Linked DNA regions of Lytechinus pictus. The protein of the gene in region 1 purifies or fractionates together with the protein of each later gene. This does not show direct contact. Links are inferred from orthologs where the notes say so. Each region holds a gene or a part of one and is shown on either strand. Other genes may lie near its edges. The genes, in order: MKI67 FHA domain-interacting nucleolar phosphoprotein-like, ATP-dependent RNA helicase DDX24-like, large ribosomal subunit protein eL20-like and pre-rRNA 2'-O-ribose RNA methyltransferase FTSJ3-like.

Region 1 (7,278 bases):
TGAACGAAGTTTGGTCCAGTGACAATTAGCAGTAATAATTCACAAAAAGTATATTCACCATGCTAGAAATTGAACATGACTATAGTACAACATGGCACAAACTTGTGTTTTATGTGTAGTTTGACAAGTTCCTTGTATATTGTATGAAAGAGCTCAAAGTACAACATAGCAAGGAAAGGGAGAGATACTCACCACACCCTCTATTTTGAAGTCAATGCCTAACTCCTGAAGCTTCTTCTGTTTCTTGTTAAGACCTCTCACTCTCCGCTTCTGGCTCTCCAGGATATGATCTTTCCCACTCTCTAACAAGCTATTGTTTCTGGAGGCTGCAATCTCTCGTCTTCGGGGGCTCTTGAAGTGATGGAAACAACCCTTGAATGTGTCAGGATGGAGCTTGTCTTTAGGAACATAGAAACCTAGAAATAAAATAATAATTTGAAAAGACATAGAATTGCTCAAAACATTCCAAGATAAACGTGTGTTTTTCATTTCTCAATTTGAACCAATCTCTACTCATACATGCACCTATAGATAAAATAAAGAAACTTAAAAGAGTAAATGTATATATATACCTAACTTCTGCTAGTTCCCATTTTATTTTTTTTCAATTAGCTTAAGATTTGTTTCTTTTTAACAAACTTGAATTGCATTCATGTTTACATTTACATTTTGCATATTGCATTAACCATAAAAGGATGGGGGGCCATGATGCCCCCCTCAACGCTTCGCACGATATTTCCGAAACGCAAAGAGATAGCGCCGCAAAATTTTATGACTTTTTTCTTTGAAGTCTGGGACCAAATTCGCAATATACACAGAAAGCATCGACACCCCACCACTTTTTACGAGACAATGTTGTGCCAAAAATGGCTCATTTTTATACTTTGTGTACAAAGTCTTTGGGAGATGAAATTCATAAAAGGGTGATTATTTTCATTTTAAAGGAGAATTAAATCTTTGGAACAAGATAGCCTGTGTGAAAACAGAAAAATCAAAGAAACAGATCAATGAAATTTTGAGAAAAATCGGACAAATAATGAGAAAGTGATGAGCATTTGAATATTGCGATCACTAATGCTATGGAGATCCTCACGTTGGCAATGCGACAAAGATGTGTGAAGTCACCTGTGAACAACTCTCCCCATTAATTTAGTATATATTTCACTTTAATTGCCTCTTTTATCACATCTATCAGTAGATTATGTGTTCTTTCTTTAGGAGGTCATGTAATACAGATTTTTAAAAAATACATCATGGATAGAGTTTGTTTCACCGTAAGAAAAAGCAAAAAGAGACATTTTGGGGGTATTTTATAGTCCATCAAAGGGAAAGTTGTTCACATGTGACATCACACATCCTTGTCGCATTGCCAATGGGAGGATCTCCATAGCATTAGTGATTGCAATATTCAAATGGTCATAACTTTCCCATTATTTGTCCGATTTTTCTCAAACTTGTTTTGTTCTTATTCTGTGATTTTTCTGTTTCGACATAAGCCTACTTGTTCCAAAGGTCTCATTACCCTTTAACTGTTCTGTTTAGTTTCTTCAGGGTTTAATTTAGTGGTTAAATTGTCTGTAATAATTTCCATTAAAAAAAAAACAAAGGATGAAAAAACAAAAATACATAAGTTCAAAAAACAAAGATATACATGAGGAAAAAAATTGACTTTGGCAATTTTTCTTTGTGGATTCCTTTAAATTAGATTACACAGATGACATCTGGAAAAAAGAAGAAAATTTGAAGTGAAATTGGGTGTTAAATATGCAAATAATGATTTTCACGAATAAATTTGTATATCTCATTCATAATTAAAAAAAAAAAAAATTTTCAATAGCTTTTTTTTATACTGGCTTGTAGTTTACAGCGGCCGAGATCAGAAGGGGGGGCCATGATTGCCCCCCCCCCCCCAGTCCTCAATACATCTCAAATAGCCCAGTCCTTTTAGGGTTAAAAGTTTGCCATTGTACACATAATAGTATAATAATACAATAAATCTAATTACAAAACCTTGAAATTTATCAGGTATTTTCCCAAATTCTTTTAATTTTGTGATTGGAAATAAAAAATAAAAAATAAAAAAACCTTGTTTTCCTGAAGAGGAAACCTACCACAAACATGAAAAAAAAAATCTTGATCTTTTGAGGCAATTTTACCAAACTGCTGAATAATTCAAATTTCTTGTATATAGAAGTAGCCGTGCAATAACAATTGTAATAAGTAACTGACGCACAATTTTTCGTACTCACATTTTAGAAGCTTCTGATACATCAGGTAGTTGTGCATTGTCTCAGTCACCACCTTTGCAACTTCATCATATTCAAATTCGATGTAAGCATACCCCTTTGATCTTCCGCTCTGAAATCAATGTAAACCAAAACATGTTAACAACTGTACATGTTGATTGGAGAGAATAATTTCTGAATAGCTACAAATACATTGGAAAATAAGTATACTCAACTTTGGCAAGATTATAACATTACGGGCTGATAAATTCAAGCAAGAAACAAGAAAATCAAGAAACCCTGACTATCTCTACCTGGTTGATCAAGGTTTGAAATTTTTGTATGACAAGGAAAAATAGGCCTGAAGTGGTTGATAATTCAGTCTTTGGAGACACTGAAATTCCTATACATGTATCTATTTGTTTGAGCGGTCCACCAGTGTTCACCCAAAAATGCTGGGCAGTCAGTAGACACACACACACACACAAAAAGAAATGGACTGACACAGGTATAAAATTAACAGTTGCTATCAATATTGATCCAATGACTGGTAGTTTTTCAAATAGCATCTACATGTATGTATTGGGATCGGGGGAAAGGGGGGGGGGGGAGTAATTTAACACCAAAATAATTCTCACCTTTTTGCTTCTGCTGAGTCGTAACCTCTTGATGTTGCCAAACTGTGAGAAGAACTTTTTCATTTGAGGTTCAAAGAAACCATGAGGAATATGAGACACATAAACGACGCCAGAGTTTGGGTCATCTTCATGGATATCACGTTTCTGCAGATTTACATGAAATAACAGTGACAATTAGAAAATACAGATTTTGATTAACTTTTAAAGACAGCTCAAGCTTTGGTAAAAGGTCAATAGTATCATGTGAATAATGTGATAATTCAAGTCTTACAAACTTGAAGTGGCCATCAATTGATTTTTTTTCAACCCCATTATATTTGTGGAAAATTAAGTTTCAATTAAAACAGGTAGCTACTCTCTAGAACCCTTTTTCAGATGCATTGATTTTTTTTCTTTAAAAAATGACCTGTTCTGTATGCATTTTGTAATTTCTTTTTTTTATCGATTAAACAAAACCAGACAAAGATCATTATCCTGAAATGGTTTGACTATTCCATGCTTGAGAAATTGTTTTAAAAAACACACACACACACACCCAGACATTTCATTTTCATCATATCAGGCCGATAAATTCAAGCAAGAAACAAGAAAATCAAGAAACTCTGACTATATACTTTTCATAACATTACCTGGTTGATCAAGTTTGAAATTTTTGTATCATGACAAGGAAAAATAGGTCTGAAGTGGTTGATAATTCTTAGTCTTTGGAGACACTGAAATTCATATACATGTATCTCTTTGTTTTACACAAAAAACAAATTCTCCCGAATAAATTTGGACAGATTCTGCCTGAATATGGCCTGATTAGGATGAATTCGGTGGATTCCTAACCTATTCGTCTCTGATTCGTGAACTCCCCAAATCAGTAACGAATAGGTCCGGAATAGGTCCCAAATCAGAGCAGAATAGCCGAGAATTGACTGCCCAGAATACCCCAAATGCTTCCCAGAATCCAACTGAAATCCATCCAAATACATCCTGAATGTGACCCAAATGAAATTTGTTGTGGTCACATTCGGAAGTACCGGTATTTTGTATTTGGCTGGTCTTGAACATTTCAAAGCGAGCCAAATCCCTCCACGAATATTCCAGACTTTTCTCGTATTCAGGGAGGGAGAACAGAATACTCCAGAGTATGTGAATTCGCAGTTGATTCGGTTCCAGTGTAATCTATGTCATGTTGTGACTACAGCACAAAACGATTCACTGTGCATACAAGCACACCCTTGCTAGTTTAGACACACATGGTGCTGGCTAGCTGAAACTGAAAAATACCATTCACACCACATCTGGAAAGTGCATTTGTTATTGTTACATACGTTACAAGGGATATCTTCAACTAACATTGTGAGTATTGGTGTACTACTTTGCCATGTATTAAACTGTACTGTTACATTGATTCCTGCATCAGACAGAGTAATGCGTTCATTCCACAGTCACATGTGAGAGGTGAAATTGATTGACTCTTCATCATCACTTGCAGGAACAGTATGGCCCGTATTCTGAAGTCGGGTTTAACTTAAACTCATGTTTAAAGTTGTGGTTTAAATATGGCTAGCTGATTGTTACATAAATCACTACAGTAGAGATATTTCAGCTCATTTGGCTCTCAAATCATTCATAATTGTCTAGAGAGTATAAATAGATGATTGTCTTCACCATTGAAGAATCAGGAAAGAGCACAGTAAATAAAAGAAACATACAACTTAATAAAAATTTTGATACTTTTGGCTTCCATAATTTTAGCACAGAGTTAGACCATGTTCTAAGTTAAACCTGACTTCATAATACGGGCCTTTATATCTAGGGACAGTGATTTTAAACAGACGGAATTCATGGAATCGGCCTTTTGAAACGGAAAGCGGCCTTTCAAATGGAAAATCACAGAAAATATATTTTTCTCAAAATGCACAGAATAGCAACAGAAATTACTCCCAAATCTTCAACGAAATACGAATATCAACTGGCCAAAAACACAATCCCACTTCGCTACAACAATCCACACATCGTGACTGCACTCGACTCCATCACAGATCATATTGAAATTACATTCACGTCCGCATAGCGACTGAACGTAGAATGAAGGCAGAAAAACGGCTGTGTGTTGCTGCCCTCTGCTTTCGGTCATAATCATTATTATTGTCTTCTTATTATTGTCTCATTATCATTATTGCCTCATTATTGTCTTACATGTATCTCATTATTTAATAAAGATCTTCAAAATAATAATTAACACCATAACAAAGGTCCATAATCAGATATCAAATTCATGAAACAGCTCAAACATGTAGACCTATTTCTAAATTAAATTCATGAAAAGGACTTTCTTTGCCATTCAAAAATACGACTTCCATTAACAATACCATATTCTAGACATTCAGACTCCTTCTAACAAACAAGTGGAATGCCTCTGGCGGTCTCACCTGCATCACGCGATTCATTATAGCAGCAGTGCTGACGTTGATAACTACTATAACTCGCACAAGATGTTCAGTGATACTTGGTTACTCTTATGTCCATGTTTTATGAACTAGACCAATACACTTACAGAGATATGGTAATTCAACAAATACCCCCAACATGGCCAAAGTTCATTGACCTTTGACCTTGGTCATGTGACCTGAAATGCGCACAGGATGTTCAGTGATACTTAATTACTCTTATATCCAAGTTTAATGAACTAGACCAATATACTTTAAAAGTTATGATGGTAATTCAACAAATACCCCATATTTTGGCCAAAGTTCATTGACCCTAAATTACCTTTGACCTTAATCATGTGACCTGAAACTTGCAGAGGATGTTCAGTGATACTTGATTACTATTATGTCCAAGTTTCATGAATCAGATCCATAAACTTTCAAAGATATGATGGTAATTGAACAGATACCCCCAATTCAGCCAAAGTTCATTGACCCTAAATGACCTTTGACCTTGGTCATGTGACGTGAAACTCATGCATGATGTCAAGTGATACTTGATTAACTTTATGTCCAAGTTTCATGAACCAGGTCCATATACTTTCTAAGTTATGCTGTCATTTCAAAAACTTAACCTTAGGTTAAGATTTTGATGTTGATTCCCCCAACATGGTCTAAGTTCATTGACCCTGATTTCAAATGACCTTTGACCTTGGTCATGTGACACGAAACTTGGGCAGGATGTTCAGTAATACTTGATTAACCTAATGGCCAAGTTTCATGAACCAGGTCCATATACTTTCTAAGTTATGTTGTCATTTCAAAAACTTAACCTTAGGTTAAGATTTGGTGTTGACGCCGCCGCCGTCGGAAAAGCGGCGCCTATAGTCTCACACTGCTATGCAAGTGATACAAAAATCACTCATCAAAAAAAATTCTTAAATTTCACTTGCAGTTTTGCTCTAAATACTTATTTCGCACAAATTCTACAAAATTATTTTCAAAATAACAAATAAAATTTTATAACAGAGCTCAAATCGTAATTAAAAAAATATATATACAACGGCTGAAATCTACCGTGTCTGAATACCTGGACTAATCTCGAGCCAATCGCAGCAGGGATGACGTCACTTACAGCTGCTCGATCGGCCGACTCAGATTCTCAAACACCTCACAACACTCAAAATTGAAGTTCATAACCGCTGGCTCTTAGTCTTTACAAACCAAATTCAATAAAACATACACAAAATGTTCTCAAATATACAATTTCATTACCGAAAGAAAAATATTAGTAGGGACATCAAATGTGCGCAATTTTTTTCTGCCAGCGGTGCATTTCAAAATATTCATATCTTTCTCATTCCTAAATAACATGTTTTTCCATGATTTTAAAAAGATTTTCTATTTTCCACACATCAGTCTCTTGTAAAATCACCTAGAACGCTCGCGAATCTGCTCTCCAATGACCCCCTTAGGCCGCGTCCATTTACTGTGTAAAGGATCATGGCCCCAAACCGGCGCTAAATATGCTCTCGCTTGTACATGCAAGCCTTCATACAAATACCTGGGGTGATGTCACATCATTGCTTAAAATGAATGAATCATACCTTTTTTCGAAAGTGGACGATTCCTAATTTTTTATGAATGAAAACAGAATTCCCGAAAGTTCCACCATCTTGAATTCTTGCGATGCAGAAGTGGATTGCCGTGAAGCCCATGATCTTTCCGGTAAAATAAATGTGATTTACATGTATCTATTTTTTCCGCATTTATTTTACGAAACCATATTATATAGATAGTTAAGATTAGAATGAGATCCTGCGTTATAAACTAGAGATGCTCTGCGGGTCGCGCAGCCAAGCACATGTATCTCCCGAACCCACCGCGTCATCACGATATATAGAGCTCACACAAAAATTTGACAAAAAATACAATTATCATGGTGACAATGACCCTAGCATGCAGGTCCCCCAAGTCCATCTACCATCCAAGTGT
Region 2 (7,525 bases), on another chromosome or scaffold:
AGCTAATTAATATGCGTAAATGCAATATCTCCAGTTATATTAGGTTTCACGCAATGAAACTTGGCAAGATGTTTTCTTGCACTAAGACCTTTAATTTTCACCACTTTTGTACAATCTTATTTGACAAATATGCAAATTAGCTCATTTATTATGCAAATTAGCTAATTTATGCATAATTATTAATACATAATTCATCAAAGATTCATCGGCAACAATCAAACCATCCTACAAATTGTCTCTTTCATATGGGTTATACAAGGTTGATAAACTTTATGATTTCACAACACTTATCTTTTACCTATACAGTGCTGAAAATGAGTTTAAGAACAGCACTGGACAGATAACCTTAATGAAAGAGGATATTATTATTAACATGCCAAAGACAGCACATATCTGTTCTTGGCAGTTCTGAAATTGAATGATCAGTTGCTGCACAAGTCAATCCAGGCTGGTATTTGAGTTTTCTTTCAAGTATCACAATAATATTACAGATGCTGTTTCATTAGATATTTTAATATATTCCCAATTTTAGCATAATAAATTGAATTTTTAATAACATTGATGTTTAATACATTTCTATGAATTCTGACTTCAAACAATTTAACAAAAAATAACTGTAATCTTCATCCCATTTCAAGTAGGTCATGACAAGGACAATGAGCAACAGCCAAGGGAATCAAATCGAGAAAGGGGAAACTGCAGCCAGACACAAATGAGCGGACAACCTGATGAGAAGGGATAAGAGGGCATTCAAGGCATAGTAAAAGCCATTGGACAGTCTGCATAAGATATTCTACCTCATTCATTGAACTTGTGTTTTTTTTTTAGCACAACAATAATATAACAGATGCTGTTTCATTAGAATTTTCCAAAATCTGCCTGGTAGATTTTTGATTGCAGGTTTGTATAAACTGTAAGAGTAAAAAATTAATTGGTGGACTGGTACAAAATTTTGAAAGACATTCATATTATATGTACCACAAACTAGTGTCTCAATATGGCAGGAAATATTACAATTCAATGTTTTTATGTATTGCAAAAGATGAAGTAATCTTGATTTACTACAAAAAGAGCAGCTATAAACATGTACTGAGTAAAAATAATTTGTACATTAGTGTTATTCCCTGAACATAATTGTAATTGGTGGATTCATGCAATAAATGCAATTACATTGAGTAAAAACGAAATTTATTTTCGGTGTGTGCATGAATAGTTTCTTTTCAAACACACAAAAAAGATAGCAAATTTATTTCACATACCTCTTTATCTGTCGACATGGATGAATTACTGAATTCCAGAAGATATATGTTCCATTACTAAGCATTGTCAAACCACCATAGAAGTCTGATATGTAAATAATTTGTCCAAATAATAAAGGTTAGTGATCCATTAAGTATTCATTTCAATATCCTGATGAATTGATAAGTAATCTTTCTCAAATCAATGCTATAACTCTGAAGTGAACTTGGGCCAAAATCTCTTGTGCAGAGTTCATTTTCAGTTAAGACATCATTTTTCTTTCCTTTGTACAAATGAATAACTTTGGCTGCCTTTCTTACATGAGCTCCAGACAATTATCTTCCCATTCCTTCTCAAGAGGATATGTGTACAGGTTCTCGTCATTGTCATACACAAGGGTGTAAAATGTATAACCTTTGTCGAAATATTCCTGATCGTTACATTCCATCAAGTCTTCAATGTCCTGTTGAGTACTCTTTCTCAACACTCTGCCATGGTATGTGACAAGACGTTTGCCACCTTCAGGAAGAAACTTGTGTTTAATTCTTTTGTGTAAAATGGTAGTTTCAGGAAAGGGTTCTTTGCGCTTTCTCCCTGTCACTTTTGATAGCAGTTTCTCTCTTAATGCCTTCCTTTCTTCTTGAAGAGTGTCACTATCAGGGAATGTGCAGGATGTACCAGATTCAGCATCTTCTGACTGACCGATGGGGGCTGAATGAACAACCTGAATTATCTCTTTTAAGTTGTCACACAGGTCAGATGCGCTTAGGGGTTTACCAGCCTTTGACTTAAAAAACAAAGCACCTTTGACCAATCCTTTGTTAACAGACTTGTAGTAGTCAATCTGTGCCAACAGAGCCTTTCTTTGATCAGACGGAGCCTTCTTAGCCATCATGGACTCCACATCAGCACTGGAGGTACAAGGACCATCACACAACTTGTTTACCATCTCAGTTGCTCTGACTGCTGTTGCTACTGATTTTCTCTTCTTTTCTTCTTTTGCTTGTTGCTGTCTGTCCATCATCTCTTGCCTTTCCTTCTTCATATCCTTAACCTTGTCTTGGTACCTCTTCATAACTATTCTTTTATTCTTAGTGGCATCATCAAATGTGCTCACGATGTCCTCGTTGCTGTCATCTATAGTAGTCAGGGGAAGCTCACTGTCATCTTTAGTAGTCAGGGGAGGCTCATTTCCATCAGGATGGTCATCTTCCAGTTGCTCTTCATTGATGGGTCTTTTAGTTGGATAGCAGTAGGGAGTTCTTAAAAATTCCTCCAACCTTTCTCTTGATGAATCTCGGGACAATTTGATCCTCCTTGTGGCTACACTTTTCCAACTACTTATAACAGTTCCTCTATGTGGTACTTCACCAGTTTTTTCTGGAAAAAGTGCACACCACCACTCATCAAGAACAGTCTTCCAAGGAATGGAATTTCGTCTACGATAATGAAATAGCTCTACAATGATTCCATTTGAGATATCTCCTTGTAAATTACTGCATCCTTCTTTCAACAAACCAGGAGTAATTCCCAATTGCTGACATGCTGAACCAATAACACGATTAGACCCAGACAAGTCTGTATATTCTTCACATAGGGATTCTAAGTTATCAGCACTGATTGCTTTTAAAGCACTGCGTTTCACTTTGGACAGGATTCCAGGTAATGTGCAGTTAGGTTCTTTGATGCCCATGCTCTTCAAAATATTAACAAAGTCTTTCCGGAAGCTCAAGCTCTCAGTGTCATCAACACATTTTCTGATGATTTCCATTAAGCCAAAAGTAGGCCTTGGGTCCTCCCACCAGTGATCTGTAATTAAAAGAAAAGGAAGAAGAAAAAAAAAATGTCAATGTAGGTTCTTTGCCTGAGTGATTTAAAATCAACGGCATACTAATTACTATATTTACTCAAATAATTGAAAAAAAATATCAATCAATTATTGATCTAAACTTTAATTATTGACATTAAAAAGTGTTTGCTACCTTAAATAAAAGGATAATATTTGCTAATTTAAGAGGGAAAGTCTGGATTTATAAAATAAAAATAATGTGAAACTTGAAAATAAATGCACATACTGTAGACCAAAACAAATATTAGGACTGAACCAATATATGTGTTTCTTAAAAAAAAAAAAAAAAAAAAAAAAAAAAAATTGGGCAGGGGGGGGGGGGGCCACAATTCTTTGTCAATGAATTAAAAAAAAATAATTATGAACGGGCACTAAACAGAGAAAGGGTTTTAAAATTGATAGGGGAAGGATGTGTTATTCACAGCAATGGTATAAAGAAATTCTGAGAATGAGAAATAATTATTAGCTTATAATAATTTTTAAAGCCCATTTGAAAGTATAATTTGTTTCTTTTGTAATTATGTCTCTTTGAGGCCCCCACCCCCTCCCCCTCCCCCCTAAAAAAAAATTAATTAATAAAGGAAAAGAATTGGTTATGGGCACAATTGAGACAAAATAATTCAGTAAATATGACCAAACAATTAATTAAAAGTGACAAATTTGACTTTCAAGTCTAATTTCTTGAATTGCCTGACATCACACAACTATTGATTTGAAAAACGTACGAGGAAAATGAAAACAGTCGTTCCAGAGGGAGGGAGAGAGGCAATGGAATATCCATACCTTAAACTGCGCATGCGCAGAAAAGAAAAATTCGGTCGGCGAATGTGGCCGGTCGACTGGAGAAATGGCTGTGCAATTTTGCGCGCACTCCCTCTGCACAATCACGGCAAAATTGTTCATTAGATATTTGAAAAAGATCGACATTTTTCACATTTCATGTCACAATCACAACCATTTCACATCATTTCATAATAAAAATCCAATCAATCGGGTATTAAGAATACGTAATCGGCACAAATCTACTCACCAGGACATTTCCGTTCGTGTACAAGAGAGTGAATTTCATCGGCAGTCCATCCGGTGAGTTGGAGTATTCGTGTATGTTCTGCGCTGAAGTCAGCGGATGCCATGATTGAAGTCAAGCGCGTAGTACCTCGAAATCGTGAACCAAAATTTGGTTTGCTCAATTCAAAGCCATTTCCTTGCTAGTTACACTCATTTTCAGGACAAAATAATATCATCCCTAAAAAATGTAACAAGTACTTCACTCTTCGGAAATACACTTGAATACCGGAGATATGAAGAATCCAAGCCACACGGTAAAATCGCCTGCGGTGTGACCATAAATTGGTTTCCACGGAAGCAGAATACAGGGTCATGATCGGAAAGGTCACGATATCCTTATATGGAAATTTCATGCACATATTTAGAGTGTAACATGTGAGGATCGTTGATTTTTCTGAGGGGATGTTTTTAGTCATTTTCAGGGCGTTTTCAAAAATACGCGAAGTTAAGCGCCACGCGTCATTTCCCCCCAAATACCGGCGGTGTGCTTGGAGTTAAATATTGATTAGAAATATGAATTCTTCATGAAAAAAGGTGAGAAGCGAGACAGAGCATATTGACAATACAATAAAAATGGAGGTAAAGAAATTAAAACTATATACTTATTTTTAAACTCACAGGAATGTTTTAAAAAGTAACAAAAATTATGTTCACGCAGGAATGGATGAATTTAGCATTTCAAGCAGACTGTGTGCGCATACGCTGTGCTATGCCTTAAATCAAGTTATAATATAAGGTTATCAAATCAAGATGGCGACTTCCATTCGACACGTGAAGCGGCGCGAGCGCTTGAAGAAATACAACAAAATGAAGAGAGAATCACGAAAACAGCCCGCTTTTCTAGATGAACAGAATTGGAAACCTTTCGAAGTGGATATGTCAGCGTTTGCTGACGAAGAGATGGGTGGATTCGTTGGAATGGAGGTTTTAACTGATTACGATCCAAACATGTTTAGAAAACTTACGAGTGGGACTGTGGGAAAGGTAAGCATGCGCATGCAGAGTGAAGGTGCTCCGCTCCGCCGCTTACTGCGCGCTGCGGCAGCTCGAAAAAGACGCCGCCGATGATTCAGGCGGAGCTGGGGCTCAGCTCAGGATAGCCCAAAAAGCTTCAGTCTCTGTATTTTGGTTGTTCAGCTGAACTGCGTTGGCTCCACTTACAGTAGAGGCGCACGGCCAATATGGGAGACTCTCTCCAATAGGGGAGACAATCTCCCACATGTCATTGGAGACTTGCTTTGCAAAAGGACAAAAGAAACAACACCAACAAAAGCGTGATTATTTCCACCCAAAATTTTGTCTCACTGAGGTCAGAAGCCCATTTGTTTTGTGTGTGATTGACAAGAAAAATCCTTATCAAAACAAAAGTAGACGTAGACAGCTGGCAGCCGTCTGTTTTGAGGAGTTTTTTAACATTTTTTTTTTTAAGTTCTCCTCATACACAGACGGCTCGCTAGCGTGCAGCCACCATTAGGGGACTTGCAATGCAAAATCCCCCCGTCGGGGCTCTTCAATTTTTGTCTTTAATCAATAAACATTTTGAAAATTAATGCGACCAAAATGCAAATTGATATTCCCTCTTGGCATTAATTGCCAAGAAACGGCGAAAAATCGAGTTAAAAGGAACAAAAACAGTGACTTACCTCGGCTGTCGCGCAAATTCACTTCCCCGTTTTATCCGATCTTAAGTACATAAACATATGGCCATTGAGTCCCCTGTACAGATCGCGCTAGAACTTCGGTCTCTGTATTTGGTGAGTGAAGCCAACGGAGTTCAGCTGAACAACCAACATAACAGAGACCGAAGCTTTTGGTCTAAAGTAGACGGTGAATTTTTAAAGTAGACGGTGAAAAGGGGTAATTTTTCATTAGGAATCCCCTTATCACATTTTTATTTGCCGCCAAGGTAATCCTTTTGCAGCAAATGTAAACAAAGGAAATTGGTCTCCAAAACTGGAGACCGTCTCTGAAATTGGATACCCAAATTCTTTACAAAAGTCTCTGATATTGGAGATAATCTCCCACATTGGAGATAGTCTCCAATATTGGCCGTGCGCCTCTACTGACTTAGCATGGCCCTGGAGTAGCCTGGAGGCTTGTCAGACACAGACGGCTCGCTATCGTGCACGTGCAGCCACCATTAACGTTAGTCGTTAGACTTAGAATAGATCATGTTAACATTAAACAATGCAAAATCCCCCCGATGCGACGCGACAAGGCTCATCGATTGTTGATTATTTGTTGTCTTTATTCAGGGCTGCCAACTCTCACACAATCTGAGCTGCGTGAGTCGCACACAATTCACCCGATTCTCACGCTGACCGTAGCCGTAGGAATTCTCAAGCTAAACCCCGAAAATAGAGAGAAAAAAAGTTTAATACCTGAAGACAGTACCGAGGTTTTTTACCTGACTGCTAAGAAAGCATGAATGCCTGTGAGCAAGCAACCAGGGGACCAACGGCTTAAAGTCCTTTCCGAGGGACCTGGTAATGAGGATTAAATGCCTTACCAAGGCAAAGGGCACTAGCGCACCACTTGGGAATCGAACCCGGGTCACCGGAATCCGAAACCCCCGCTCTACTGAGCTATCGCGCCTCTTTATTAACCTATATTGGATATTCAATAACATTATAACACGGCCAGGCAAAAGTTTCAAAGTTTTTAACCACACAAGCGCAAAGCTAAACCATCAATGCAAATTGGTTTCGGTTTGCCGCGCTAAGACAAGATATTGAGTTGCGATTGGCTTACTGTACCCCGCGTGAAGAGCTGGTGACATCAAAATTTTACTATGAAGCTGGGTTTTTGAGCGAGGCACAACGAGCGATCGAGTGTCAATGCAATGCCATGCCATGGCGATAGCCCGCCGGCACGGCGCTTTGAATACATGATAGCCCCACATATGCATTTGTGTGTGTTTTGATACACTTGGTTTCTTTCGTAGCTTTATTTTAAATGAGCCAAAAAGAAACTGATAATTTTTATATGATGATACTATCATGATAGTTATAGCTTTCTTTATATCTTTCTCTCCTTCTTTCTTTTCAATCTTTCTTTGTTTTTTGTTACTGTCTTTCTTTTTTAATTTTCCTTTTTTTCTTTGTCTTCTTTCTGTCCTTAAAAAAAATATTTTTCTCTATTTCTTTTTCTCTTTTTTTTTATTTTTATTTTTATTTCTTTCTGTCTTTAATTCTTGAGTCCATCCATCCTATATCTATCTCTTCTTTCTTTCTTTCTTTCTTTCTTTGTTTCTTTCCTTCCTTCTTTTTACCCTTTCTTTCCTTCATTCTTTGTTCTTTCTTCCATCCATCCTTTCTTTACCCCTTCTTGTTTTTTATTTCTTCCTTTTAGCTTTTTTTCTCTTTCATT
Region 3 (7,251 bases), about 40 Mb from region 1:
TTTAATTTTAATTTATATTTGTTTCTTTATTCATTCATTTGGATCTAGATTTGTTTATAACTTTAATTTGTTCTTTCAATTTACATTAGTGTCAGTCCCTAGGCTATGAAAATTTCAAGGGCACTTTTTAAAAATCTTTGAGGGCATTTGGAGCAAATTCTCGCTACCCCAAATAGCGATTTCGCCGAGATCCGGGAAAATCCCTGTAACGTGCATTGCATTATGGGATAGCTTTTTCGGTATTACAACTTCCTGTTCGGAAGTCCAATGCACTGTTTTGCCATTCAGATCAACAGTGCCGTCATGCACAACAACACAACGTCGCTTTCGCTCGGAAAGTTCGTGATCACAACCCTCTCTTTCACGATACAGTTTAACAGTTTTACAGCCTTTTCTGCTAAAGTCAGTAATTCTGCCCGACGCTTTCCATTGCACGGTATTCATCTGTCAGTTAAGATTTTTTTTAAGTTCCGAAACTGATTTTTATCCATTTTGTGGTCGACGAAAAATTGAACGAAATGAATGCTGTATATATTTAGCGTCTAGTTGAATACGATCATGATGTCAGGCCGGTCGCTAAATGCACAATTTTAAGATATTCATTATTTGTTTGATTTTTTTATAACCAAATAAACACATGAATAAAAATTATTTTCACGTGAAATATATTTTTTATTTTTATTTATAATTCAAATGGAATCAAAACTGACCAAATGTAATAAAAAGTATTATACTCTGTACATATTACGCTGATTGGCATCGATTTCAGCGTGGTGGAAAACTCAGTATCGCGAACCTCGCGCGAGCATGACTCTAAACCGGAAGTGGTGATGACGACCCGACGGAGTGAAAATTATCTCGTCTCGCGCATTATGAGATTTTTGTTCCTATTTGGGGTAGCGAGAATTAGGGAGAGTTGAAATTAGCCCTGAGCCCTCTTCACTGTGGCAAATTGTAAAGAACGGATAGTGATGCGTTCCACGCTAGCGGGCGTGTAAATTTTGCTTATTATATGACGTCATCCAGCCACTGCCGAGATCTAATTTATGAATGAAAATATAGTAAGCATGCGCAGTGCAAGCCTTCCATTGCCCCACACAGTATTCCACCAAAACAAGTGTGCAATTCTCTATCACTTCGTGCCAAAATCGACCTTGAATTTCACTTTCCTATATTTTATATGAATTATGAAAGGTATTCTCGGAGGATCTATTTTCTCACCGATAACGCACAGGTAAACGAATTTCGATTACTTCTTGCTTTTCCGTCAAAATCTTACAAATAAAGCGTCGATATGGCATCATGTTCGTTGGAGTTTGTAGAGTCTATCGCAACATGCACAAAGTCAATTGATTTTCGGAGCGTTGCATGAATATGCATGAAATTGCGGAGTCTCAATAATTTTTGATCGATACTGGAGCGATCCGATCACGAACCAAGATCATTTCCCGCGTAGACAATGTGACCGGATATCGTTATCGATACTTTCGCACGCAGTCCGAAGGAATTATTTTGGCGACCACGTAGTCATGACGTCACCTGCGCAATTGACCAATCAGCGGTCTCCGATTCGCTGAACGGAGATGGTCTATCCGTTGTACACAGTCTATGGACAATTTACCACTGTGCTCTTCCCCCTGCATCAAACCTGTTTTGCAACCAGTCACTGTCACATTGAGCAAGTTTCTCAATAATTAATTTTTTTAAGCCTGGGGTTCCCCTGGCGGTTACACTTCGTAATTCCAAAGGTTCTTTATTCCGAAGGTTCGTAATTCCGATACACGTAAATTGCCTATACCTCGATGCTCGTTAATCCGAAAACGTAAAAGGGTTCGTTAATCCGAACATTTGTGGCGTTATTCCGAAGGTTCGACAATGCGAAAACGAAATAAGGTTCGATGTTCCGAAGGTTCGTTAATCCGAAAACGAAATAAGGTTCGTTGTTCCGAAGGTTCGTTAATCCGAAAACGAAATAAGGTTCGTTGTTCCGAAGGTTCGTTAATCCGAAAACGAAATAAGGTTCGTTGTTCCGAAGGTTCGTTAGTCTGAAAACGAAATAAGGTTCTATATCATTTCGTTTTCGGACTAACGAACCTTCGGAATTACGAAACTCATTTCGTTTTCGGATTAACGAACCTTCGGAATTATGAACCTCACTTCTTATCCAGACTAACGAACCTTCGGAATTACGAATCTCATTTCGTTTTCGGACTAACGAACCTTCGGAATTACGAACCTCATTTCGTTTTCGGACTAACAAACCTTCGGAATTATGAACCTTCGGAAATACGAACCTTCGGAATAATGAACCTTCGGAATATCCGAACCTTCGGAATAACGAAGCTTCGGAATTACGAATGTGTGCGCCCCTGGCATGCATGATGGCAAATTCATAACAAAAAGGATCGTGTCTCAAACATATTATGAATATGAGCAATCTCTCAACACATATCGTCAACAAGTCATCCTCCTGCGCCTGCGCATCCCCCCCCCCCCCCCCCCCCCCCCCCCCCCGTCACCTGATGCCAGTCATCCAGATTATTATATAGTCCAGGTCAGTCATGCCAGTACAATTAAAAAACTGAATCACATCTGTAACATCCACAACTCATTCAAAATCCCAAAGAAAAAGAGAGAACACAATATCATCCATGATGACCATGACATGTTCCACACACACCACAGCCCAGGCACAGCTCAGTGCAGTGCACACAGCAGAGCAACATGCCATTACCAGTGGCACTGCACTAGTAGCAGTGCGGTTCTGCTGTGTCCGTCGATTGTTTCGAACCCCATAATAGATATCTCAATTTCTCCTCTAGTATTTATGAAATGTTAATAGAATCAATATCATATTATAAATTAATTATTATCTAATCACATTTATTTTACAATGATTATATTCGGGGACTGGGGAGGGTAAAATAAGCCACTTTCTAACCTGTCCTCTGAATTTCATTTCGTGTACAACCCACGAGGAAAAGGACGAAAAGGCCGAGGAGTGACAGAAAATACAGATATGGTCAATAATCAAAAGAAACGGTCATTATTTTTTGCTCAATTTACATGTATGTGTATATTTCAAAGTCAGTAAAATATTCAAAATATTAAAATTGTTTTATTAAAAATAAAAAAAGATATATATACAAGGTAAAATACAAAATGTATGAATTTTGATATGATATCTTTAAATTGGTAAATTGACGATGATTGAAGTTGTACGATCAATATTCTTCGGGGAGCATAACAGTGGACAGTGCCAATTTACAACCAGGTTTAATTTTAATGATTTGAATTTATAAGCCAATCTTGAAAACACCCCCCCCCCCCCTTTATGGAACAGTTGAGAAAGAACATTGCTTTTGATTGCAGTAGTTAATTTCTTATAAACCCTTTTTATGTAAAGCATTATAACCCGGGTTCTTAATAATTTTTCAATGAGGTCCATGAAAAGTGTTAAAACAAGGACTTTTTGGTTGAAATGAATTATGCGGCCCCCTGCATGGCGTAGCCCACTGAATAAAAAGAAAGGAATACAAAAATTCCTTTCCCAGGTGTTGATCACACAAGTGATCAGTGGTGTAAGAAGAAAATATGCCTAATCATGAGCAGCAGAGGCAGCAGATATGGAATTTGGAGTAATTGCGAGCGAGCTAAAAAAAAAATCCTTTTTGTTAATGTAAATCTAATTAATTTTTTTGATAGATGTTTTCAATAGCAAAACTTTGCTGTTGGGGACATTGGCACTGATTTATAAATGTGTCAATATTTTCGCGCGTTGTTAAATTCGCGGCCGATCGGCAATTTGCGAAATCCGCGAAAATAACAGCTTATACAGTATCTTTCTTTTTAGGAGAGAACTCATTTGTGATCTCTATCGCATGAAGAAGGGCATACAGATGAGGCGTACCGTGGGTCAAGGCATTGGGAGGGGGCACCAGCAAATATTTTGAGTCATTAAGTGGGCGCGCGAAGCGCGCTCAATTGCCAGCCACTGACCTAATAGAGACATTTTAAGGACTGTGCCATTAAACGGATTTGTATCTCACTGATCAAATAATGCGAGCGCGAAGCGCGAGCTGATAATTTTGATATTCAGGGACATTAAATTTTAAAAATCATGAAACGTAGGCCTATACCTGTCTCACTAAACAATCAATGCGAGAGTGAAGCGTGTGCCGAAATTTGTGTATATATTGACCCCAACTAAGGACATTTAAGGATTATTTTTAAGGAATTCATGAAGGACATTCATATCTCACCATAGTCATTTTATGCGAGCGCCAATAAGCGCTTGCTGATTTTGTCATAATTACACCTAGCTACATGAAACACTTTTTGTAGTCATTATAATCATGAACAGGATATGTATCTCACTAATTGCGAGCGCAAAGCGTAAGCTGAAAATTTTTGAAATTCAGACCCGAAGAGGAGCATTCTAAGGCTTGTTTATAGGAATTCACTAAGAGTAGACCATACGTATTTCGCTTAATGATGCGAGCGCGAAGCGCGAGCTGAAAATTTTTGATATTCAGACCAGGAAAGGGACATATATTAAGGACTGTTTTTAGGAATTCATGAAGCTCATATCTCACCAATCTACTAATGCGAATGTAAGCATGGACTGGAAATGTTTTATATTCAGACCCTAAAAGGGCCGTGCGAGGACTGTATATTGACTTGAAAACAGGATAGCACAACAGGATTATATATTCTCAGCAGGAATGGTGAACACATATAGGCCTAAGCAATTTATGTTTTATAAAGTTTTAAAAATATTTCTTAAATAATATCATCTATATAAATATAGCCTACATAATATGATATACAATCATTTATTCTCCCCCCACTATATGTATATCTTCCTTTCTCAATCTTTTTCTCCTATTCTCCCGCTTTTTGGCCAGCAGATGTGGGGGGGGGGCGCGGGGGGCATGGACCCCCCCAAAAATGAAAGAAAATGAAAGAGAGAAGGGTGAATAATGGTATTATTTTCTGGATGTCAAAATCTATCACAAAATTAGATCTTTTATAAGTAATTTTAAACTTTTTGCTCGCTCCCTTCTCTCGCTTGATTTTTAGAAATAAATTTTGCCCAATAGGCGTACGCCATGCTTGGCCCCCTTTTTTTTTTTTATCATTTCGCCACTGGATGAACATGGTGAAGAGAAGCAGACAGTATCCGCGAGTGTTTAACCTTGTAAACATATTTATCAATTTTTCATAAGTCACAAATTCTATTGGAGATTCTTCATTATACAGTCAATAATTCATACGGATCTCGGTAATTATTCCTATATCTCTCTCGCTTGCTTAAAATTCTATTTCTGTGATATGAATAGCGAGGTATCTTGTGTATTTAGTTGGGGAATCCTTTACGTTCATAACAAATATTCTTTTTGCCGGTCGCTCAACATTCATTCGGTTATACAGAAGCACGTCAGCTCCGTGGACGGCAGTAAGATACCAGTATTTATCCCTTTCTTTATTTTTCATATTGGGATAATGGTAATATACAATAACAATTTCTAGGTCTGTAGTCAAGATTATGCAGCTTCTGCCAAGAAGAGGGGGCAAAAATATTTTAATCCATATTCCCCGATCGGCCGCTAAACATGCTAAAAGCTGAACTTTGAAGTACATCTTTTTTTTTCTGAGGACAAGACAAGGTATGGCATAAAGCATAAATGCATAATGCTAGCGCGAAGCGCGGGATGAAATTTGTAATAAATGCACATGAAAACGTGACATTCTATTTAAAAAAAAGTAATCATAATCAAGATGGGTATCTAACCAAACAATTGATTCGAGAGCGAAGCGCGAAGTGAAACTTTTTAATACTCCGACCTAAAGCACAAATGATGAACAAAGTATGCGAAGCGTGAGCTGAAATTTGGGCGATTTAGACCTATAAGAACGGGACATTCTAAGCAGTGGGTATTAATAATATGAGAGAAAAAAAATGATATTCCGATCTGCAAAAAGGACGGATTATAATGAAGTTTTCAATCAACAATAAGATATGTATCCAATAAGCAATTATTGCATACACAAAGCGTGAGGTGATATAATTATATATATATATTTAGGTCTATAGACCTAAAAATGAGAGATTCTATTCATTTTCATGAAAAAGATGGGTATCTTGCTATATATACGGTGCGAGCGCGAAGCGCGAGCTGAACATTTTTGGTGCTCCATTAAAAAAAACCAGTACATTATTTTAAGCACTTACAAAATATAATGCGAGTGCGAAGCATTAGTTGAAATGTTTGATATATTGACCCGAAAGAAAACATGTTAAGCACTGTTTAACATGTAGGAACATTATTAAAAAATCATTTAATGTTACTGTATGAGTATCTAACTGCTTAACAATGCGAATGCAAATCTCTAAAAATAAGCAGGCCTATACTGACCTGAACCAATATAGGGGTAATCTCAAAGATGGGAAATCGGGAAGAGGATCCGTCTATGCGAACGCATATGTAGCGTGATCTGAAATTTTTTTGATATTCACTTTTTCGTAATTATGAATAGAATGCATTGAATAATTTGTGCACATTGACTCCGAGGACCCCTCGGTAGATCAGCAGCACCATGATTGATGCTGCTGAGTAGGGCCATCCTCCCGTTTTCTATTTATCAATTCACATTTATCATTTTATATGTATTGTTTTTTTGTTTTTTTTAACGGAAATAAATTCAATCAATCAATCAAACGGGATATTTTATGTCTCAGCATGTTATCCTCTTGAGCAGATCATCTCACTCAAGGCAATGTGAGCGCGAAGCGCGAGCATTTTTTTGTTTTGTTTCATATAATGACCCCTTTTGACCTGAAAGTTTTTACCAATTATTCTTCTCTCTTTGTTTCAGTCACTTTTCTTCCTCATCTTCATCTTATCATCTACGGCCTCCCCGGCCTTCCCTTTACTTGTATTTCTCCCTCTTTTTGTAGCGAACCCATTTTGCTTGTCAAATTTCTCGTGACTTATCTTCATCTTGTTGTGAAAACCTTTTTTATTTGCTTTTCAAATTAAAAACAGCACCCCCTATTAAAAAAAAATCGTTCCCAGCTAGGGCCCTGGATAAAGTTAAGGTCCAACCATTAAATTTGTCGACAATATATTTATAGGAAGAAGTAACTTGCAGGCCCATCGAAATAAATAATTTTGAATGGATGTTCAGGGGCCGATCCCACATCCAACAACGGGGAAGGTGGCGGGGAGAAACTTAATTGTCCACATT
Region 4 (7,241 bases), on another chromosome or scaffold:
GAAGCTTAACTGCCGATCCGATTTTCGATCTGATTTTTGATCCGATTTACAACATTACTCTGAGCTAGCCCGCCCGGCAGTCGTGCCGCCGGGCTAGCTGCATGCACGTTCCATAGGGATGCATACGCACCCACATGCAGGCGACCCGTTCCAAGGACCCCCGTATTCACAAACATTTGTAGTTCCGAAGCCCGTTCCCAGGACCCTCCTTTTTACAATAAGCCCGCTCCAAGGCCCCCATTTTTTGTCTCGCCCGCGGCACATACCTACTACTTTTTGGGTCGAGTGCCCCCCCCCTGGGCCCATCCCTTTCCTTCCCCCTCTCCTCTTTCTTTTACTTCTCCCCTTTTCCTTCCTTTAGTTCTCCTTCTGTCTGCCTCTTTTTTGGAGGGGGGGCATTCATACCATGGAAACCTTACCAGGGTAGGATTTTAAGTGAGTGTCTGTTAAGACGGAGCATGGAGGCTACCACCTGTGGTTTTACTTGTATCGCCTCGTTGAGGAATTCCACCCCCCCCCCCTTTTTCTACCCGTCCACTGCCAGGCCCCAGGGGTGGTATTCTGAGATCCATTTTATCTCAGATAAAATACAATATTTTAACTCCGTTAAAATCAGTGAAATAAAATACCCTTAAAATATCTCCGAATTGGTATTCTGAGAACAATTGTATCTTAATTTTATCTCTTTAAGACACACCTAATTTTTAATCAATATCCAATTAGAAACGTGCTTTTAGAGCTATCTCGTGTCACTCAACCAATTGAAATCCATTCCGCCATGAGGTGTGGCAAAGGGGTGAGATTGCGTCAATTTATTGACTTCAAATACGCTTGCACAATACGCTTGCGCGTCTTTACAGAGATTTCTTTTTAACAAAAAGGACAATACTCTCATCTTTTTTCGAAGTCTATATCGCATCTTTTCAAGCATCATTTCAAAGACAATATTGGTCAAGACAAGTCTTATGAAATACTTTCTGATTGTACTAACCCAGGGAGCTCCCGCCCAGGAGCCCAGGGGCTTACCGTGTATTTGACCATAGTCACCGGACTAGGGTGATTTATGGTCTAAATATTTCTCCAAATGAATTGTGAAAACAGAAAGTATACAATTACCACGATTATATGGATGAAGGTCTAACGAGTGGCAGTTTCCTGACATCTGGGCACAGACTGGAACCTAAAAAAAACGACAAGTTCTCTCCTTCTACCCCCTTCTCGATCAGCCATTTTTGTTAAAAATCGTAACAAAATGGCCGATCGAGACTGGGTAGAAGGAGAGAACTTTTCGTTTTTTTTAGGTTCCAGTCTGTGCCCAGATGTCAGGAAACTGCCACTCGTTAGACCTTCATCCATATAATCGTGGTAATTGTATACTTTCTGTTTTCACAATTCATTTGGAGAAATATTTAGACCATAAATCACCCTAGTCCGGTGACTATGGTCAAATACACGGTAAGCCCCTGGGCTCCCTGGGTTATGATTGTACAGGAATAACGTTAAGGTGTTATTCTCATTAAATATATAATTTTTCTTCATTTTCATGTCAACATTTTGGGTTAATTCACCTAGAAATATTGGTGAAATCAACGTCGCAGAGATAAAATAGCCCCTACCCTCTTTTAGTTTTAAGTTTATTTTATTTTTTTCTTCAAAGTTAAACTTGGGCGCAAGCACATCATCCGCGTTGCAATACCCAGATACGCGATGGGTATGTCTCCGCAGGCACTGTTCTGTTGCGTATCATCATAGTTACGCAAGATAAAATTTATACGCAAGATAAAATTGTAAATTTTATCCGAGACTGTGACGGTGAGAGATAAAAATAAAATGTCATCTCACTCTCAGAATACCAATTTCATTTTAAGAGATAAAATAAAATATTTTAAAGATAAAATGACCTCAGATTATTCAGAATACCACCCCAGGGCACTATATTATAAGCGGGGCTTATAGACAAACATTAAAATATGGTGGTCAGTTGTCAAGTGACAGAGTCTAACTACATGACTAGGCCTAACATGACCCATGTCGTCATGAGATGAGACAGTGTTAAAGGAGAATGAAACCCTTGAAACCAGCTGAATCCATATCAAAGAGAAAAATCAAAGAAACATATTGTTGAAAGTTTGAGGAAGATTGAATGGATAATAAGAAAGTTATGAGCATTTGAATATTGAGATCACTAGTGCCATGTAGATCCTCCCAACGGCAATGCGACCAAGATCTGTGATATCACACACGTACAACTCCCTCATTACTTATTTCACTTATATTCTCACTTTTATAGAGTCTATCACAAGGTGAGGTGTTCTCTTTATGAGATGACAAGTACAGAGGTTTCACAACATTATATCATTGATGAATCGTTTGTCATATGATTAGAATGAGCAAAAAGAGATGTTTTGGGGTATATTTTCAGTGTCCAAATGGGAGAGTTGTACGTGTGTGACATCACAGATCTTGGTCGCATTGCCAATGGGAGGATCTCCATAGCATTAGTGATCTCGACATTCAAATGCTCATAACTCTTTTATTGCTAGTCCTATTTTACTCAAAGTTTTGTTGATCTTATTCTTTGATTTTTCTGCTTTCACAAAAGCTAACTTGCTCCAAGAGTTTCATTCTCCTTTAATAATGTTTAGCTATAGTTAATTCTCGGGCCGTAATTAATTGACAAACCTGTTTCTTTAGCAAGATGATAATATCTGTCTTTCCTCTGCTTTCCGATTTTCGCTTTCTTGCCCATTTTGAAGGAGAAATTTGCCCGCCTCAGATGTTAAAAAATTGTTTCGAATCGAATCATCCAAATGAGCCAGGCCAGTCGCAGCTAGTATTATTAGGCCAGCGGAGATTCAGTAGTGTTTGGACCGAGAACTCCGGCGTAGTCGATCTAGATCAACCGTCCACACGTACGTGCATAGCGCCAACTTAATGTGTTCCGCCATCTTGCTTGTTGGTTGCCGATAAAATGCGCATTTTCAGATTTTTTAACGCTTAGTTATTATCCATGACTGAAACATTGACCAATCAAAAACTAAGATTCTATAAGAAATATGAATATTCATATACGAAAGTATAAACATAGATAATTCAGTGTTATGTGAAATTTAAACCCAATACTTCAAAATATGGTTAGTTTTATGTCTCTAAAATGACTCTTAAAACCAGAATTTTATTACTAAAAAATAAAGGTTTTCCCAAGTTGCCATGGTAACGCGGTCTGAGATAAAAAAGCTTAGCAAACACTTCATTTCAGTGATCGAGGATGTATTTGTTTACGGTATACGTCTACATAAATTATAACATTTTTTTCCAGACCATGGATGAACTTTCAAAAAGAGACATTTTAGGCAAGTTTTTACGATTTCCGGAAATTTTCTGACACAGGCACTTTGAAGAGGTAATTTTTACAGAATTAGAAGAAGACATCATGGATTTTCCTAATTATCACGACGGATATGCAACTTACTTGTAAACAAATCAAACAAAGTCTATGATACATTTTTGATAATGCAAAAAGAGACATTCAAGTCTCTGATTGAGAGCCGCAGATTGAACATTCGCACGGCGCAATGGTAGCGTTTTCGCCGAATTCGTCGGGGCGAAAACTCCAAGCGAGCCGTACCACTCACCAGTCCCGAACGCTGCGCTGTATGTTTGATGATTTATCTGGTGCCATTTCGTGCTTATAAATTAGTTTTTTCTACAATGCCACTATCTCATTAAAATTGTTTGTCATGATAACATTGGAAATATTATCGTTTAATGGCCCAAAGGATCGACTCTAATAAAAGATACTTTGAAATATTGTCAAAGAGTGATTAGTTAGGTGATGTTTATGGTCAGAATTTAGTCATGGCTTCGGGTGAACTTACGCGAACGCGGTCACTTGCTCACGGGGTGAGTCGGCCTGGCCCTTTGGTGGAAGGCCGTTAGGTAACGTGCAGTGCAGCTAGAGCAGAGTTGGGGAGTTATAGGTATAAAAATACTTTGAAATAAGTAATCTGCAAATATTTTTGTCTTATCCCTTTGGATTACTTAGATAAGAAATTCAAATTCTCAAAGTTTAAATCAAATTTTAGACAGTGACAACAAAGAGTGGTGCTGTATGGGGGGGGGGGGGGGTCTTGCATGCCCCCAATTCACGAACAAGAAAAAAAAAGGAAAAGGTAAGAGAATCTTGCGAGATCGTTCAATTGGATTTTTGTAACCAAGAGTCAAAATTATGCTTATGTCGCTTGCTTGCAACTATATATTTTATAAATTTTGCCTGATACGCCATATCGTTTTACCCTCAATTATTTTCGCTTGTTACGGCTTACGCCACTGACTGATATAACATTATTTGGTTGCGGGATCAAAGCATCAGCTATAGCTAAACATTTATACTTTATGCCTGTTCAACTTCCAATACAGGTTTAGGCCTGTATTTATGAGATGTTAAGATCTATGGTAGACAGCTGGCAGCCGTCTGTTTCGAGGAGTTTTTTAACCATTTTTAATTTTTAATTTCTCCTCGTACAATAGACAGCTGGCAGCCGTCTGTTTCGAGGAGTTTTTTAACATTTTTTATTTTTTAATTTCTCCTCGTACACATGTATTTGGTGAGTGGAGCCAACGTAGTTCAGCAGAACAACCAACATAACAGAGACCGAAGCTTTTGGTCTAGATATATGGGTGCCTTTATTATTTTCATTTTCAATTAAAACAATTATTAATTATGTATTAATTTAGTATTTACCTCGATGATACATTTTATTGTGTTAAATCGTACAATTTCTGTTATATTAAGCCCCTTATTAAGCCCTTTTAAAAACATGCTCAGTAGCAGACCCCCCCCCCCATATATAAAGACAATAGAAGTGTATATAGAATTAATTGAACCCCCCCCCCTATTGAGGACAAAATGAAAAAAAAAATACTCAAAATAATCGACCGCCCCCCCCCCCCTTTGACGAGGCAGCTGTCGGTGGCCTGATGTCTTCATTGACTTTTTTTTGCTTGTAAAAATAATATTAAAGAAATAGGGGCTACTCTAAGTGTCCCCTGTGAAAATTGATCTGGATCTGCAAGTGCATGAGGCTGCGCCCTCTCCAACGTCATAGCTACCCCATATCTTTAGGTTCTAGCTCTCATATTTTTCAGCTCCCTGATTTTTTGGAAGAAAAAAAAACGAGGCGAAAGAAAAGAGTGAAATAAATGAAATACGATTAATCAAAATTTGAGTTGTTTTCTATACTTATCAGAGAAACTAAATTAAATTCTACATCCATGAAGAATAACAGCAATCTTGATAAATTCTGTTTTTTTTTCAAAATCAGAACCAATCAACCTTTTTCTGATTATTCTGTCACTTTCCATATTTTGGAGAAAAAAATAAAAGTGTTCATCGACGCCCTGTACTGCACGATGAAACTGTATCCCCACTCGGCCCTCGTAACCCCCCCCCCCCTCTCTCTCTCTCTCCCTTCCCCCCCCCCCCACCACAATGCCCCTTGCTCATTTCTCTTATCTCACCTTGACCTTAATTAATTAATCTTAACTATTTGGCGGTACAGTCAAACGTGACTGGTCGCCATCATAGTTTCATCCCCAACAAACAAGGAACAAACAATAACAATTCTGTTTTTCCACCCAACATCATTCCTTTCAATACGCGTAAGGCTACACGTGGGCATGCACAAACAACGTGGGTTAACAAAAACTGACCCGCGTTTGGACTGAAATTGTGATTAAAATAAAAATGTTATAAATATGAAAAAAATATGTGTATAATGAAGGATATTTGATAAACGGAAAAACATCAACCGCTAATTCATAAAAATGCTGGAAAAGATTTGACAGTGGTTTTTAACAACGGTAATCAAGGGGAATTAGTGTATGGGTGAATGGCGTTCGAGCTTTAGCCGAGCGTTAGCCGGTGAGGGCGCGGGCCAAATCTGGCAATATGGCGTCGTCCATTAAGCTGACGTTAGGCCAACGGCGACTGCACGTACGTGTCCACAGAGCACAGTAGTAGTCCGGACGTCCATGCACAGATTGCTAGATAAGCATGGATGGCTAGGTGGCGAAATTCATTCCGATCGATCCGGCTTGCTAAAGATTCTGGAATATCGTCCAACGGGTAATTCGGCATAATCATATTTCGGCCTTTTGCTTCTGAAAAAAAAATTATAAGCGAGCAACTCAACCGATTGAAAGAAATAAAAGGCACTAAAATTGCCCTAAAATAAATGAGATACCGTAAATATATTGTTCCGATTTTGGCATCATTGCAATATTTGGAATATCAAGTTCAAAGTTTGAGGGCCGGCCGGTCAGTTGCATCATCGATCCCCGCCCCCTCGATACCGCCGGGTTTAGAGGAACTAAGTCCGCTCCAACAAAAAAGTGGATTTAGATAATAATAAAAAAGATGCCAAAAAACCAAGCATATTGCTGAAAATTTCATCAAAATCGGACAAGCTGAAAATTATAGCATTTTAAAGTTTCGCTCACTAGTTTTAAAACAGACACAGTGATATGCAAACTCAACGGTCACTCACTACTGTCTCAAAGCTGCACTGGGAGTTTTCAAGTTTGGCCTTGACCGTAAAGGCAGCATCTTTATAAATCACTATAATACGTTGCAACAATTTTCCAGGAAAATCATTCACATTCAGCCCCCCCCCCCACTTTTTTCCAAAACCGTGTACAAAAACGTAAAAATGACCATAGGTTTGTGATTTTTTGCATGGTCAGCCCCCCCCCCCCCCCCCCCCCACTTTGAAAACCGTTCCGCGGCCCCTGACATATATAGGTATCATAATATTATACCAAGACAAAGTGCCCCCCGGATCGAGCTATAGCTCGTGCCTATATATACTAGGCCCACCACCCGGCCCGCACTCAGAAAAAAATTGGGAGCATGGGGTATAAATTTTAAAGGGCATAGGCCTATAACCCATGGCTGGAAAGAAAGAAAGAAAGAAAGAAAGAAAGAAAGAAAGAAAGAAAGAAAGAAAGAAAGAAAGAAAGAAAGAAAGAAAGAAAGAAAGAAAGAAAGAAAGAAAGAAAGAAAGAAAGAAAGAAAGAAAGAAAGAAAGAAAGAAAGAAAGAAAGAAAGAAAGAAAGAAAGAAAGAAAGAAAGAAAGAAAGAAAGAAGACAGAAAGAAGGAAAGAAAAAGGAGAAAAAGAGAGGAGAAAAAAAGAAGAGGTAAAATAAGAGGAAGAAGACGAGTGAATGAAATAAGGTGAGC

What was found.
Region 2: the proteins of MKI67 FHA domain-interacting nucleolar phosphoprotein-like (region 1) and ATP-dependent RNA helicase DDX24-like purify together in Homo sapiens (affinity purification with mass spectrometry; 3 studies listed by BioGRID and IntAct, counting the BioPlex papers as one, with this or other methods). This does not show direct contact. The link is inferred for Lytechinus pictus from reciprocal best matches to the Homo sapiens genes NIFK and DDX24.
Region 3: the proteins of MKI67 FHA domain-interacting nucleolar phosphoprotein-like (region 1) and large ribosomal subunit protein eL20-like fractionate together in Homo sapiens (co-fractionation; 3 studies listed by BioGRID and IntAct, with this or other methods). This does not show direct contact. The link is inferred for Lytechinus pictus from reciprocal best matches to the Homo sapiens genes NIFK and RPL18A.
Region 4: the proteins of MKI67 FHA domain-interacting nucleolar phosphoprotein-like (region 1) and pre-rRNA 2'-O-ribose RNA methyltransferase FTSJ3-like fractionate together in Homo sapiens (co-fractionation; 3 studies listed by BioGRID, with this or other methods). This does not show direct contact. The link is inferred for Lytechinus pictus from reciprocal best matches to the Homo sapiens genes NIFK and FTSJ3.

The regions. Positions count from the first base shown.
Region 1 is NC_087247.1:47,894,052-47,901,329, forward strand, and holds the start of MKI67 FHA domain-interacting nucleolar phosphoprotein-like, read right to left. Parts: upstream 3,014-7,278; 5' UTR 2,927-3,013; coding exon 2,864-2,926; intron 2,359-2,863; coding exon 2,250-2,358; intron 417-2,249; coding exon 193-416; intron 1-192.
Region 2 is NC_087261.1:25,556,714-25,564,238, forward strand, and holds the start of ATP-dependent RNA helicase DDX24-like, read left to right. Parts: upstream 1-4,513; 5' UTR 4,514-4,729; coding exon of another isoform or gene 4,730-4,735; 5' UTR 4,736-4,906; coding exon 4,907-5,140; intron 5,141-7,525. Other genes in the region: uncharacterized protein LOC135157277, read right to left, coding at 1,556-3,048, 4,119-4,221. UniProt on the Homo sapiens protein: ATP-dependent RNA helicase that plays a role in various aspects of RNA metabolism including pre-mRNA splicing and is thereby involved in different biological processes such as cell cycle regulation or innate immunity.
Region 3 is NC_087247.1:7,744,010-7,751,260, reverse strand, and holds the start of large ribosomal subunit protein eL20-like, read right to left. Parts: upstream 3,008-7,251; 5' UTR 2,960-3,007; coding exon 2,942-2,959; intron 1-2,941.
Region 4 is NC_087246.1:16,943,658-16,950,898, forward strand, and holds the start of pre-rRNA 2'-O-ribose RNA methyltransferase FTSJ3-like, read right to left. Parts: upstream 3,011-7,241; 5' UTR 2,750-3,010; coding exon 2,683-2,749; intron 1-2,682.